Drosophila melanogaster: one gene and its partner. The gene in region 2 interacts genetically with the main gene of each other region. Each region holds a gene or a part of one and is shown on either strand. Other genes may lie near its edges. The genes, in order: so and fl(2)d.

Region 1 (5,135 bases), 6.4 Mb from region 2:
CGTGTTTGCCCCATTCCCCTTCCCCTGTGCTTCTTCCTACTTTTATAAGATTTTAATTTGAATGTCGTGGAATCCCTGGAAATCTGAAAGCGGACACCTAACTCTATTGGGCTGTTAATCAAATTGAATTGTTCGAGCTGCCGTGGCTGCAAGCGTTGTTCGCCTAATTAGTTTGTAATCAAAGTCAGCTTACGATTGACTTGTTGATGGATTCGATTCAACTCGCAGGGCAGTTCCAAAGCCCTAAGTCCTAAGTGCACTTCGGGAACTCTGCAGGTGAAGTGTGCCCCAGCTCGAGGAGCACCCAGCTCAACTTGGAGCATGGTGCCATCGCAATCGCAAAAAGCACAAACAGTGCGCCTGTTTCTCGCGGCTAACACCGAAATCATCTGCTCCGGCGTCTGTGTTTATACAATGTAATCGAATGGGAATGGGATTGAGACTGTGACTGGGGATTGGGGATTGGGGATTGGGGATTGAGGACTGGGAAGACGTGTGCCATGCAACCTGTTGTGGGCCAGCCCCCGTTCCGGGTAATTCGAACGGCTTTCTGGCCGCTGGTCGGGATTAGTAAGCGCTGCTGCTGCCAAACGGTCGAGACAATCGCTGCTATCCGCCAGATACTATTTTTAACATTTTCCGTTTAATTGCCGCGTGAGGGAGCTACGCACAAAGAAATCGAATAGAGCGCGGCGCAATGAATGAAATTTGTCAATTTAATGGGTTGCACACACATGTGTCTCTGCCTCCGCAGCCGAATGTATCTGCATCTGCATGTCGGCTGCTTTTCGCCTTGCTGCGCCGCATTTGCCAAACTTTGAATGAAACTGAAGTGCACTGGTCGAAAGTCCCGCCGGTGGGGAGCTCGTCCCCAAATTACGACGGATTCTGCACGCCGGTGCGTAAAATGATCAAAGCTGCTGCGGCCAAACTTGCGTATCTGTATCTGTTTCTGCCCGAGTCCCGAATCTAGGCGAATGGAATGCGCAAATTTGTCAATTTGGCCACTTCCGAGATGGAATCCACATGGCTGGTATCTTGATGATCCGAAATAGGCAACCAGAACCGTACGCAACATCTGCTCCCATCTCTGCACTCAATTAATCATTCGACTTCTGACGACAAACACGCGTTGGCCAATTCGTTTAAACGCTCCCAATCCCCCGAATATCGCAAATATCGAATTTAGCCGGACAAAAGTGGGTCCACGCCCACTCATCCTCACACGAAGTACAAAAGTTGTCGGCCAAACAGTCGCTATAGTTAATAATTTCATAAATTTTGTGGCGAGAAACGAAATGATAAAGCCAAATGGTTTCATAAATAAACACTGTGTGCGTTGGTTTCGAGCACCAAACGGTTGGAAAGCCTTTGCGATGAATGAATGACAACTGGAAACTACTTTTCCTTTGGATCAAATCCATCTCATATCTTTTCCTCTAATTAATAAATACATCTGAGGTGGGTGGGCCGTTGAGTAGCCAACTTGGAAACGTGGAAAACTTAGAAAAAAATTGAGCGGTGAATAAAACAACAGAATTTTTCTTTTGGTGTGTAAACAAGTTTCCTTTCCAAATATAAGTGAACATGCAATTCCCGTGCTTTTGCCTTCGTTTCGATTCCCTCAGAATTGCTTCTCAAGTGCCTCGAGTTGGTTTTCCGATGGCTTTTGGCCATTTGGAATTCGCCAATGCCACGCCGCCAAAAAGCGAAGTGCACTTTGGCTCTCAGCTCTCCTCATTGAAATCGGCAAAACGTTGTGAATCTATGGACTTCGATGATAGATTGATCCATTAGAAAGCGGATAGAGATACGCCGTGACATTTATGGACTGCATTAATGTTTTCGCTGCACACGCTTTAAAGGCTATTTAAAGCACTAAAATATATTTTTAAATGAAGTCTTCAAATAGGCAAAGTGATTGATACTTTCTCAGAGAACTTTAGGCTTTTCTAATCAAGAATAACGCTTTGCTGTAAGTTCCATTTTAACCGTATGGGATGTTTAATAAAAGGTCTATGTTCTATGATCTTATCTATAGGTGATAAGTGATTTCTTGAACATGTGGTTAGTTCTTCTAAGGCTTAGTTTGACCTATTGAAATTATTATTTTTCTGAAACTTTTGTATATATTTATGGTTTTATAATTTTAAGGTTCCAATATGGAAATGTATAATCTAATATTAGCTATATTTATTCACATAATCGTCCCGAAATTTATCATAGTTATTATATCTCCTTTTTCAAGTATCAATGCCAATTTTATTTTAAATTAATCCCCCATATACCATTCGTTTTTCTTATTGTGAAAGAATATCCGTCCTACTTATGCATCTACATATATTTTTGCCATGGTTTCTAGTGTTCCACAGTAAACTTTTGCCGTCGGCAGCATGAAAACTGAATCTCGCTGCTCACCTGTATTTTGATTATTTATTGTTGATACGTATCCGAGTTTGTTAGTTTTTGTTTGTTACTCTTTGTTTGGGTTTGTGCCTTTTGCCTTGGCTTTCCGATTCGACTTGTGCTATATCCGCAAATGTTAGAGTTGGCCAAGAAGGCGCTGATTTCGGCTGTGCGGCATTTCCTTGATTTGCATTTTGGCCAAACTCTTCAAATCGAAGCCATGTGCCGTTCGCGCACGCACACACTCTTAGTCGCGATCACACTGGGCACTAACTAACACAAGCTTGCCGTTGAATATTGCTCATACGCACTGTGCGAACACGTGTTGCAAATTACTTTTCGCGAAAACTTCGCTGTCCTGCGCGACTCGGACAAATTGCACCTGCAAATTTGGTGGGCAAAGCTGCGACGACAGCACTGAGGCAGTGCCAACAAAAAATGGCCGCCCGCGGATTGATTAGCTCAATTTTGCTCGCTTTTCTCTCGCTTCGTGTGCGTTTATGTGGCGCGATACTGATGCGTTCATTCAGGAAACACGCAAATTAAATATAACTTTGTGCGCGGGACGTCAAAAGACCGCCGGATCCGGCCTGGATTACTAAGCGAGCGACGTGGGTAGAACGGGCAGCGAACCGCACGCGACGGAATCTCGAAAACAACTGAGAACTCTCCGGTTCTCAAACCTAATCGAACCGAAAACGGCCGAGACAAAAGGCAGAAAATGGTTGGTGCCGCTGGCGGTGTGCGTGCGCCAGAGCGAGATGGCCGACTGGTCGTGCGAGTGTGTGAGTGAGCGAACACCAAGGGGGTGAACTGCACAGTGGGATGCACCGACACTTTGTGCGTCACTTTCCAAAAACGTTATAGGAAAATAATGGAATCAAGTGAAGCGAGACTTACATTCACTGACTTTTATAAAGTCACTGGGCACACACAGTTCATGATTACACATATATGAACTGATGATAACTCAGAATTCACTACGTTTTAGTTGTTTTCAATATCTTGCCTTTACAAGTGTTTTTATTTTTATTCTATTTTATTTTATTGTATTCTAATGTTTTCGTAGTAAGACATAGTACATTTTTCCGTTATTATATGCTATTGTATCTTCAAAACATTAGAAAATGGTTTTATATATTTTTAAAGTGGCTTACAATTAAGTTAAGTTAAGTTAAGTTAATTGGACAAATATTTTTATAAACGTGTAGCCATTGAATTTGACACACGGTGCCAATCGACAACAGTTTGACAGCCACTGCGAGAGGGGCAGCGTGCGAAAGAGCGAGAGAGCGCATAAACAGGTTGACCGAAAGAACGCCCCCTCGGCTTACCTGTTCGCACACACACACACACACACACACACACATAGATGCCCTCACGCACACCGGCGCACTGGAGGACAGCAACGTGCTGATTGGTCAGCGGAAACGCATGCCAGCAAAAAGGCATGCGCATTGGGCGCCATATTGAAAGGCGGAAATCGGAGGTGATTGCAACTGCATCGCTGCTCCTCCCCAGGAACTCCTCATCCTGGCTGAAAGGATGCCCGGTGCAATAGCTGCCATCCTACAATGCCGTTTGAATTACTCACCGCAATAGTTCCATGCATCTCTCGTATAATTGCAATTACTGGCCTTTTCTCATATTCATTCACTCCACTTTTTTGGTTTAACTCAACCTTGTGGTCCTTCCACATTAGTGCGGTTTGCATTGTATTATTTAATGATTCCGAAGGAGATGAAGCCGTTTGGTAATTGAAGCCAACTAATTGTGTTAATGATTTACTAATATATTTAGTTTACTAAATATTTACTATATACACAGGCTCCTTTCGTCTTCAAGTCCTTGTTCATGATAACTGAAATAACTTGAACCTAATTTAATTTCAAACTATTAACATGATCTAGAGACACCTGTACAAAGTGCAGCGATGCGTTCAGAATGCCTAACTTTCTTTTTGAATACAAATAGTCAACTTAAATCACAGAGTACTACACTGCTTAGTGAATTTTGTAGATGGTAATTAATGTAATTAATGTAAATTAATGTAATTAATGTAATGTAACGCTAAATGTATAGAAATTAGTCAAAGTACCTGTTGTTGGAGGAACCGCTTAGACAAATGGTATTATTTTCAGCACTTCTTTATTAAAATTCTGTCCCATTTATCGGTAGCTCGATCTCAGCGTGTGCCGTGAAAATCGCATCGAGGACCACCCAAAATGCAAATTCGGAAACGGAGCTGGGAAACTCGATCGAAATCCAACAAAGATGATGGACTAATGGGGCGCCAGGCCGGTGCACCTAATCAAGATCGGCAACTGCCCACACAGATCAGATGCCAAGTGAAGATCCATACCGCTGGCGATTTCAGTATCGTTTACAGCGATCGATAAGGTTTTGGCGCCAGGCCTCGACAGTCACCGATAGCCAAAATAAGTGTTAAAAAAATTAGGAAATCGTAAAATTTACATAATAACAGATCATATTTCAATCGAATTAGAAAGACAGACGGCAACGACAACAGTTGGGAATGCCAGAGGGACCAGAAAACACATAAAGATGGCCATAAAACAAAGTTGGATGGAGAGGCAGCGATACGGGATGCCACAAAATGTTAATGAAAAAGTGCGATAAAAATCTTGTCCAACATGAATGAGAAAAACGAGGCAAGCAGCCCAACAACAATGCAGCGATCAACACCACGTTCTGCGGTTCGAGATGAC
Region 2 (7,647 bases):
TTATCTAACACGGCTTACAGTCCGTTTCGCCCAGAATCGCGACTTTACTTTCCACTCTTTGCACTTGTCTCGATTTTTCCAGCTACCTTTGCGCTCGCTAAAAAAAACTCTCGAATTCGTACTTCAAATGCTCGATTTTGTGTGCCAAGGGCCTCCTGATTTGCTGTGGACTCTGATGCGGTCACGCGACGCGGTAGATGCAACCCCAAACACGGTGAAATTCTTTCTGAGCGCTCCGCCAAATCCGCAGCTGTCCGGCGAGATTTCCGCCGAGCTGTTTCTGTTTCTCTGGAGAGCGAGAATCTCACCGAAAGAGAGAGATTGCGCACTGAACAACCCTGGCAAATCTCTATTTTATATTCTGCGATAAGTTTTAAGTATTTTCAAACATCTAACTTCAATACTTCTTGCTTATATATTTTTTTTCAAATTTTTAAATTTACCGAATGATTGGATATCTACAGTATCCAAATAAATTTTTTATAATAATGTTATGTCATAAATTCAATTTATTTTTAGTCTGCTATAAGTTTAAAAAAGTATTTTAAAACTTCTAGGCTTACTACTTCTCTCTCAAAATTTAGAAATTACCGATTGAGGATTGGATTTTTATAGATACTAAAAAACATTTTCAAAACAATGTTATGTTATAAATTTCATAATATTTTTGCTTGGCTTCTACAAAATGAAAATTTTTTAAAAAGTACTGCTTAATTTTAAAGCATTGTAGCTAGAAATTTCAATTTCAAATGAGTATTATTGCTTTCAATATTGTTATCAGATTGTTTATAGCTAAAACAAATATATTTTTTTTGCAATGTCGGTTCATGTCATTATGTTAATAGGGTTGGAACTGAAGATATCAATCCGAAAAACTGCCGGCTTTGCTCTGCTATAAATCTGTACTGAAATATTATATAATGTTAACTACTTCTTCACATTATATAGATCAAATGTATGCACTTGTTTTGTAGCTTTTTTCCAGTTCTTAAACAAATTTAGAAACTATTTAGAATAATAGAACAATTTTTGGATTAACACTTATTTTATTTTATTTACATATTTGTACAACAGCCCTAATATTAGATATTTAATGTTGTTCATATAACAAATATCCCGAACATCAACAATATTTCCTTATGATCTAATGACCCTTATGATCAGTTAAGCTTTCAGCCCTTTATGCAATTGGTTATTTCGGTCCAGAAGGCCTGAACTTCAGGATCCTGCATTAAACTACGTTTCTTAGCGTTCAAAACTATGTTGAGGATGTCGGCATTTTTGCAGCAATCCCGTCTGGCGGATTTGCCATCCGGCGCCTCCGGGGAAAAGCCTTCCGTCTCCTGGTCATCCATTGGATCCACTTCACCCGCCGGACTGCCCAATTGTCCAACTGCAAAATAACAATGTATTTGGGGGAATCTATTGCTTAATCAACTTAAATACCTTTCTTGCACTTGGTCGCCTCTGTTTTCGGTTTTTCTGTCCGTTTTTGGTAGGGTTTTCTTGGTTTTGAGACATCTTTCGTCTTGCTGCGCTTGGCATTCGCATCGGTGGGCAGCAATTCGGGACTCTCGGCGGGATTATCCGCATCCTGCTGCAGGCGCCGCTTGACGTGCAGATTCAGGCGCTCCTTGATGTTTTGCTGTTCCAGTTTTATTTGCACACCAGTGGTTTCTGCCATGTTTTTGCGTTTTGAATATAAAAACAATATCCAAAACAGTCCACCAGTGTGACCCCTAAATAAATCTTACAAAAAAATAAACAGTAACGTAAGATACAACTTTCTCACTTGTATTTGATTGTTCCTAATTATTTCTAACTATGTAAATATCGTTAGTATTGGATGCAAAGCTATGGCGGTAGACGTAAGGAAGGAATTATCAGTGCAATTTAGAAGTTAAATAAATTTGTTATCTAATAATTATTTGGCAAAATTTGTGGCAGTGTGAACGGAACTGGGTTGAGTCTCCGCTACCCCATATCCGAGCCACGCACCCCAGGTCTGCATTTGTGTCGATGGCAAATCTGGTATTTTTCAGCGACGCCATGTTGGATTGCGAACAACAGTTAACAGCAGCAAACGAGAAATCAGCTCGCAGCGCAGAAAAATTAAAAAATATCGCCGTAAAAGTGAGCCCAACCGACCCAAAACATATGAAAAGTGTGAATTAAAGGACAATAAAGATATAAATCATTAATTAAGCTTTGAGCAAGCGCGAAAAGTACGCGAAATCAACGTTTTGCAAAACGTTCGCCATACGCGTCGCCATTGGTGTGAGCGATAGCTTGCCTGTGTGTGCGTGTGGTATTGGAGGAGGTGAGAGCGCCTGTGTGTGTGTGTGTTTGCGTGCGTGTGTGAGAGCGAGCGAGCGGCCCCTATGAAAAGCAACAGCAACAACGCCAGCAAAGGACCCGCAACAACAACAACAACAACAGCAAGAGTAACAAGCACAGCGTTTTAATATCCAAATAATGAGTGTCGCTGCAATGACTATGGACGATCAAAGACCCTGTATGAACAGTTACGACAAAATGCCCCCGACCAAATACGAGCAAAACCTAAATATCCTAAACAGCAGCCAAAACAGTGGGGCCACTGGCGGCCCCGCCTCCCCAACGCCCTCCGGCTTGGAGGACCACCATCATCATCACCATCCGCATCCGCACCATCATCACCATCAGGAGCAGCAGCAGCAGCAGCAGCAACAGCAACACTTGCAGCAGCAGCAACAACAGCAGCAGCAGCAACATGCAGCAGCTGTTGCAGAGGCTGTTGCAGCCGCCGAACAGCGACAGCGCTTGCTCGAAGGTATTTTGCACATTTTGGTACACTGCTATATGATCAGAGATCTATCTGATCTATATAATACCCCCTATATACTACATACATACTCGTTTCGAATACCGACAAAAAAAAAAAGAAAAGGAAAAAACCACGATCCAAAGTGTTGACTCTGTGTAAATTGTATAAATAATGCAATATATAAACAACAAGTAAACGTAGTCTTTTAGTTTATTTCTGCCCCCACTCCACTTGGGTTTCTTGTGTCATTTGAATTTGTTTATGAAAAACACTCGGTAAAGAACTCAACGTATATATTATGTGAATCGAATCGAAGCGAACACTCTTTGCAACGAACATTCTTTCAGCGGCGTTTTGGTTAACTTTATTTATTTATTTTTTTCAACACCACCTCGAGCAAACCGTCGAATGTAGTGAAAGTGCTTTCAAAAAGGACCATGCATATAATAATCTATAATACCTAAATATGAACTAAGTTAAAAGGCAACTGACGCCTAAAGTTATCAAGTGATTACAAAGTGTTGTGCAACAGAACTATCTAAAATATAAAATATGAGTTAAATAATCATAAATAATATATGAGAATCGTAACCAATTATAACCAGTAAGCTGAGCTAAGCTTTAATATTGAAAGCAATCGTACTTAAAATAAAAAATTATAAAATGAATCATAAGAAGATAAGGTTAACGAAGTAAAGTTTAAGATTTTATATAATCTTAATGAGAAAACCGGGCTGATAATAACATCAAATGAATAGAGCATATCAAGTAATAATAGTAGAGAATCCTAATCGGAGATTTTCCTCGTTTTCCGTCGTTTTTGCGGTGTACAGTTTTCGTTTTGCGACCACTTTTCGTTTGCCTACGTGCCCGTTGAAGAAGAAGAAGAAGCACAGCAGCAGAGAAGTGGAGAGGAGAAGAAGAGAGCCAACGTGTCTGCGTCCCCTGCCCCACCCCCTGGACCCATCTTATTCTCTCTCTTCGCGCCCCTCACGCTCTTTTCGTCGCGCCTAAATATAAATAATAATATTAAATAATCAATTGAAAATGTGACAGTGCATAACCAAAGAGAAAATAAAGTTGAAATTCTTTTTCTGTTGAAATTGTGTTAAAGAAGTGAACGTCAAATGAAAAAAACATTGCCTCGTGTGTTCAAACAAATACAAATGTTTAAATAAATGGCGCCAAAATACGGCGAACATGTGTGCGTTTGTGTGTGAGTGTGTATATTCACAATTGTTAAGCTTACTTAATTGATTTTTAAACGCTTAATTGGCCGCCAATCAATCAATTAACATGCAATGTGGGACACACGCACATGCACACATTTGTTTGCCCCGATCAAATAGTATATATAAATATAAAATAATTGCTTGGCTAAGTAAATACAAAAGCGAAGTTATATATGTACGTGTTTGCACAACAAATCCAACAAAAAATGCAAAGTCAATAAACTTTTTGTATGACAAAAGAGTGTTCGAAAATGCCGCAAAAAAGAGAAGGGGAAAAGCTTTTGAAATCCATGCATACATACATCCATGCATAGGCATACGAAAAAGCTTCCGAAAGCCCATTGTGTGTGCGTCGAGTTTTTTGCAAGTGTTTTTCAAAAATATTTTCAGTTTTGCCACAAAAAATATGTATACCAATCAGTCATCGTTGTTTTCCACAGTGTATGCAAGTTCGAAAATGCCGCGAAGATTCAAATTCAATCGCCAATCAAGTTCGATGCAAATGCAAATGCATAAGCAAAAGCAAGAAATCAAAATGCAAATAATGGCAGGTGTTCAAGTTATTCAAGTGCCAATGATAATGCCAGAGATAACGAAGCAATCGAAATCGAAATCCAAACCGCAAGCGAATTCGATACCGAAATCGATATCGTGTTGTCCAAGTTCAAGTGGTTCAAGTTGTGACACTCGCATCGAATCAAAATCTAAATCAATATCATTATCAGCCAGAGATTGACGACGGGATGCGGCCTTTTCCACCGACCATGTCACGAACTTACACGAATGATTGCAACGCATTGGTATGATTTCGTATTAAGTTCCACCTAAAAAAACAAACACTTTGCCTTGCCCATTAAGAACTTGTAAAATATCTATGTATATATAGTACGATATTGTTATATCTCGTGTGCGAACCAAAAAAAAAAAAAAAAGACAGTGGCTCTCTCAGCTTGGAACGCCCGTTATCTAGACCCCATTATTAGCTAATCCTTATCCTTCGATTCGCAGATGAGATCGAGAATCTCAAGCTGGAACAGGTCCGCATGGCTCAGCAATGCGCGGACGCCCAGCGACGCGAGAAGATCCTCATGCGACGGCTGGCCAACAAGGAGCAAGAATTCCAGGACTATGTGGTGGGTACTCGCCTTAATATACACAAATTTCTCAAATACTAATGCACCCGTAATCCCCATTAGAGCCAAATTGCCGAGTACAAGGCCCAACAGGCGCCAACTGCCCTCGCATTGCGCACTGCTCTGCTCGATCCTGCGGTCAATCTCCTGTTCGAGCGGCTCAAGAAGGAACTTAAGGCCACCAAGGCCAAGCTGGAGGAGACCCAGAACGAGCTGTCCGCATGGAAGTTCACGCCGGACTCTAATACCGGCAAACGCCTAATGGCCAAGTGCCGACTGCTCTATCAGGAGAACGAGGAGCTGGGCAAGATGACCTCCAACGGCAGACTGGCCAAGCTGGAGACCGAACTGGCCATGCAGAAGAGCTTCAGCGAAGAGGTCAAGAAATCGCAGTCGGGTAGGTTAAATCTGAACTAGGATTGGGATCGAAACTTATAGATATGTAAACTCCTTTACCATTTAGAGTTGGACGACTTCCTGCAGGAGCTGGACGAGGATGTGGAGGGCATGCAGAGCACCATTCTGTTTTTGCAGCAAGAACTAAAGACCACACGCGATCGCATACAAACGCTTGAGAAGGAGAACGCCCAGTTGAAACAGGCCATCAAGGATGAGGTTGTGGCTCCAGCGGCTGCCACCAACGGTGGCACCAACACGACGATAAATAAGCTAGAGACCATTCACGAGGACGCTTGCATGGCGAATAACCCAACGAATCCGGATTGTTACAATGGGAATACCAACAACGAACAGATCGCGGCCGTGCCACAGATACCACTGTCGGATGATGGCAGCAATATGAACGGAAATGCAGCGCGATTAGCCCGCAAACGAAACTACCAAGAGGAGGAAGCCCTTCCAACGGTAGTGGTGGTGCCGACTCCCACCCCAGTAGGAAATAACGTCCAGGAAGCGCCGCCCATCAGGGAAGTTACCGCCCCACGTACTCTGCCGCCCAAAAAGTCCAAGCTGCGAGGCATTACCACGCGTCGCAACTCCCAGCTGGAGGAGGATCATCAGCCAGTGACAACACCAGTGGCCGTCCCCATGATCGTGGACAACGCTGTGGCCGGAATGGCGAGCGAAGAGGCTGCTGCCGCCGCTGCGGCTGTTAATAACAGCAATACGGGAATAATCCCGGAAACGGGAGTGCAAGTGGGTGTCCCAGTTGAGGGCGGCGATCCAGGTGCTCCGGCGGCACCGGGCCGCATCCTGACCCGTCGTCGGTCCGTCCGCATGCAGCAGAACGGCAGCGGAGCAGTCGACTACTCCACCTAAGCGCTGGCGAACCTTTTTCCAAAAAAGGGTGCACTCCATATGAGTTCGTCAAATTGATCGTTAATTCCTGACGTTTACTTTTGTGAATTGAGATTTCAAAACAGAGAGAGACTTCATTTTATATTTCTAACCTATCTTTTAGATTCTTTAATTTTTTTTACACATTGTCTTGTAAAATACGTTTATTATTTCGTTTGCATGCGGCGTAGACATACATAATTCGCAAATTATTTAGAAGTCACTGCTTTACATACGAAATGCATTATGTAGAACAGTGTAAAACTTCAGCACATATATTTACAATAATACGATCGAGCTAAATGATAATGCTAAAAACTGATACACTATTTATGTTTTTTAACCACGGCATCTACTGAAAAGCTGAAAAGAAAGCTTGGTCAAAACAAAACTTGTCATTTAGCAAAATTAGGTTTTAATTATCAACTTAAGGCATTTTTGTAATACTATGAAAGTTGTGTAAAATAATATAAACTTGTGTTAAAATAAATTGTTAAGCATAACAAATATTTCAAAAAACCAGTGTCCTTTAATTTCAATTGCCGCCCAGCAAAACAATCGTTTTGATTTTCGAAATTATCTTGTGTTTATTATCAGTTTCTTCTTTTAGCACATTAGACAAATGGTTTTACTTGTATTTGATTGAATTCGAAATATGTTTATGTATGTAGTACAATTGTGGCTGCCAGCGAGTGTGTTTGTATCCTTTGTTTCGTTTGTGTCTGTGAGAAGAGTTTAAACTTGAGATCGGGCTAAAATGTTCTGGTAAAGAGGCCTGCAAGCTTGGCATAGTTTGATATTTGCTTTACCCTACTTTCAATCGAAATGTACAAAATGAGTAGGGATGTGGTGAGACAACCTGCAAGGGGGTTAAACGTACTTCCGATTCCATATTAAATAGTTAATAACAAATACTAGGCAGTTCGAATGGCACAAGTTGATTACACTACCATGGGGAAATGTGGGGTGTCTAAAGCTTAGCGAGTTCTGTTCCGATCGGAGGAGATATCCTTTCGGCTGAGAGTTTGTTTGTCTAGATGTACGATAGTTTGTTATGGTAAATTTCAACTAGTCAATGGTTTAAGTGTAGTATTATTAATAATTTAGTCGCTAGATGCTGCTGCGTTTACTCAATCGTCTCAGTTCTGTGGCTCGTATCAAGTAGTTAGTAATAAAAAGT

What was found.
Region 1: of fl(2)d (region 2) and so, changing one suppresses a phenotype caused by changing the other (phenotypic suppression), as found in Drosophila melanogaster (one study listed by BioGRID).

The regions. Positions count from the first base shown.
Region 1 is NT_033778.4:7,417,282-7,422,416, reverse strand, and holds the start of so (sine oculis), read right to left. Parts: upstream 3,068-5,135; 5' UTR 2,419-3,067; intron 1-2,418. UniProt on the Drosophila melanogaster protein: Required for visual system development. May transcriptionally regulate genes necessary for optic lobe invagination and Bolwig's nerve formation.
Region 2 is NT_033778.4:13,818,957-13,826,603, reverse strand, and holds fl(2)d (female lethal d), read left to right. Parts: upstream 1-2,050; 5' UTR 2,051-2,475; coding exon 2,476-2,812; intron 2,813-4,428; exon of another isoform or gene 4,429-4,838; intron 4,839-5,046; coding exon 5,047-5,171; intron 5,172-5,234; coding exon 5,235-5,568; intron 5,569-5,634; coding exon 5,635-6,449; 3' UTR 6,450-6,980; downstream 6,981-7,647. Other genes in the region: CG13339 (uncharacterized protein), read right to left, coding at 1,173-1,393, 1,447-1,684. UniProt on the Drosophila melanogaster protein: Associated component of the WMM complex, a complex that mediates N6-methyladenosine (m6A) methylation of mRNAs, a modification that plays a role in the efficiency of mRNA splicing and is required for sex determination.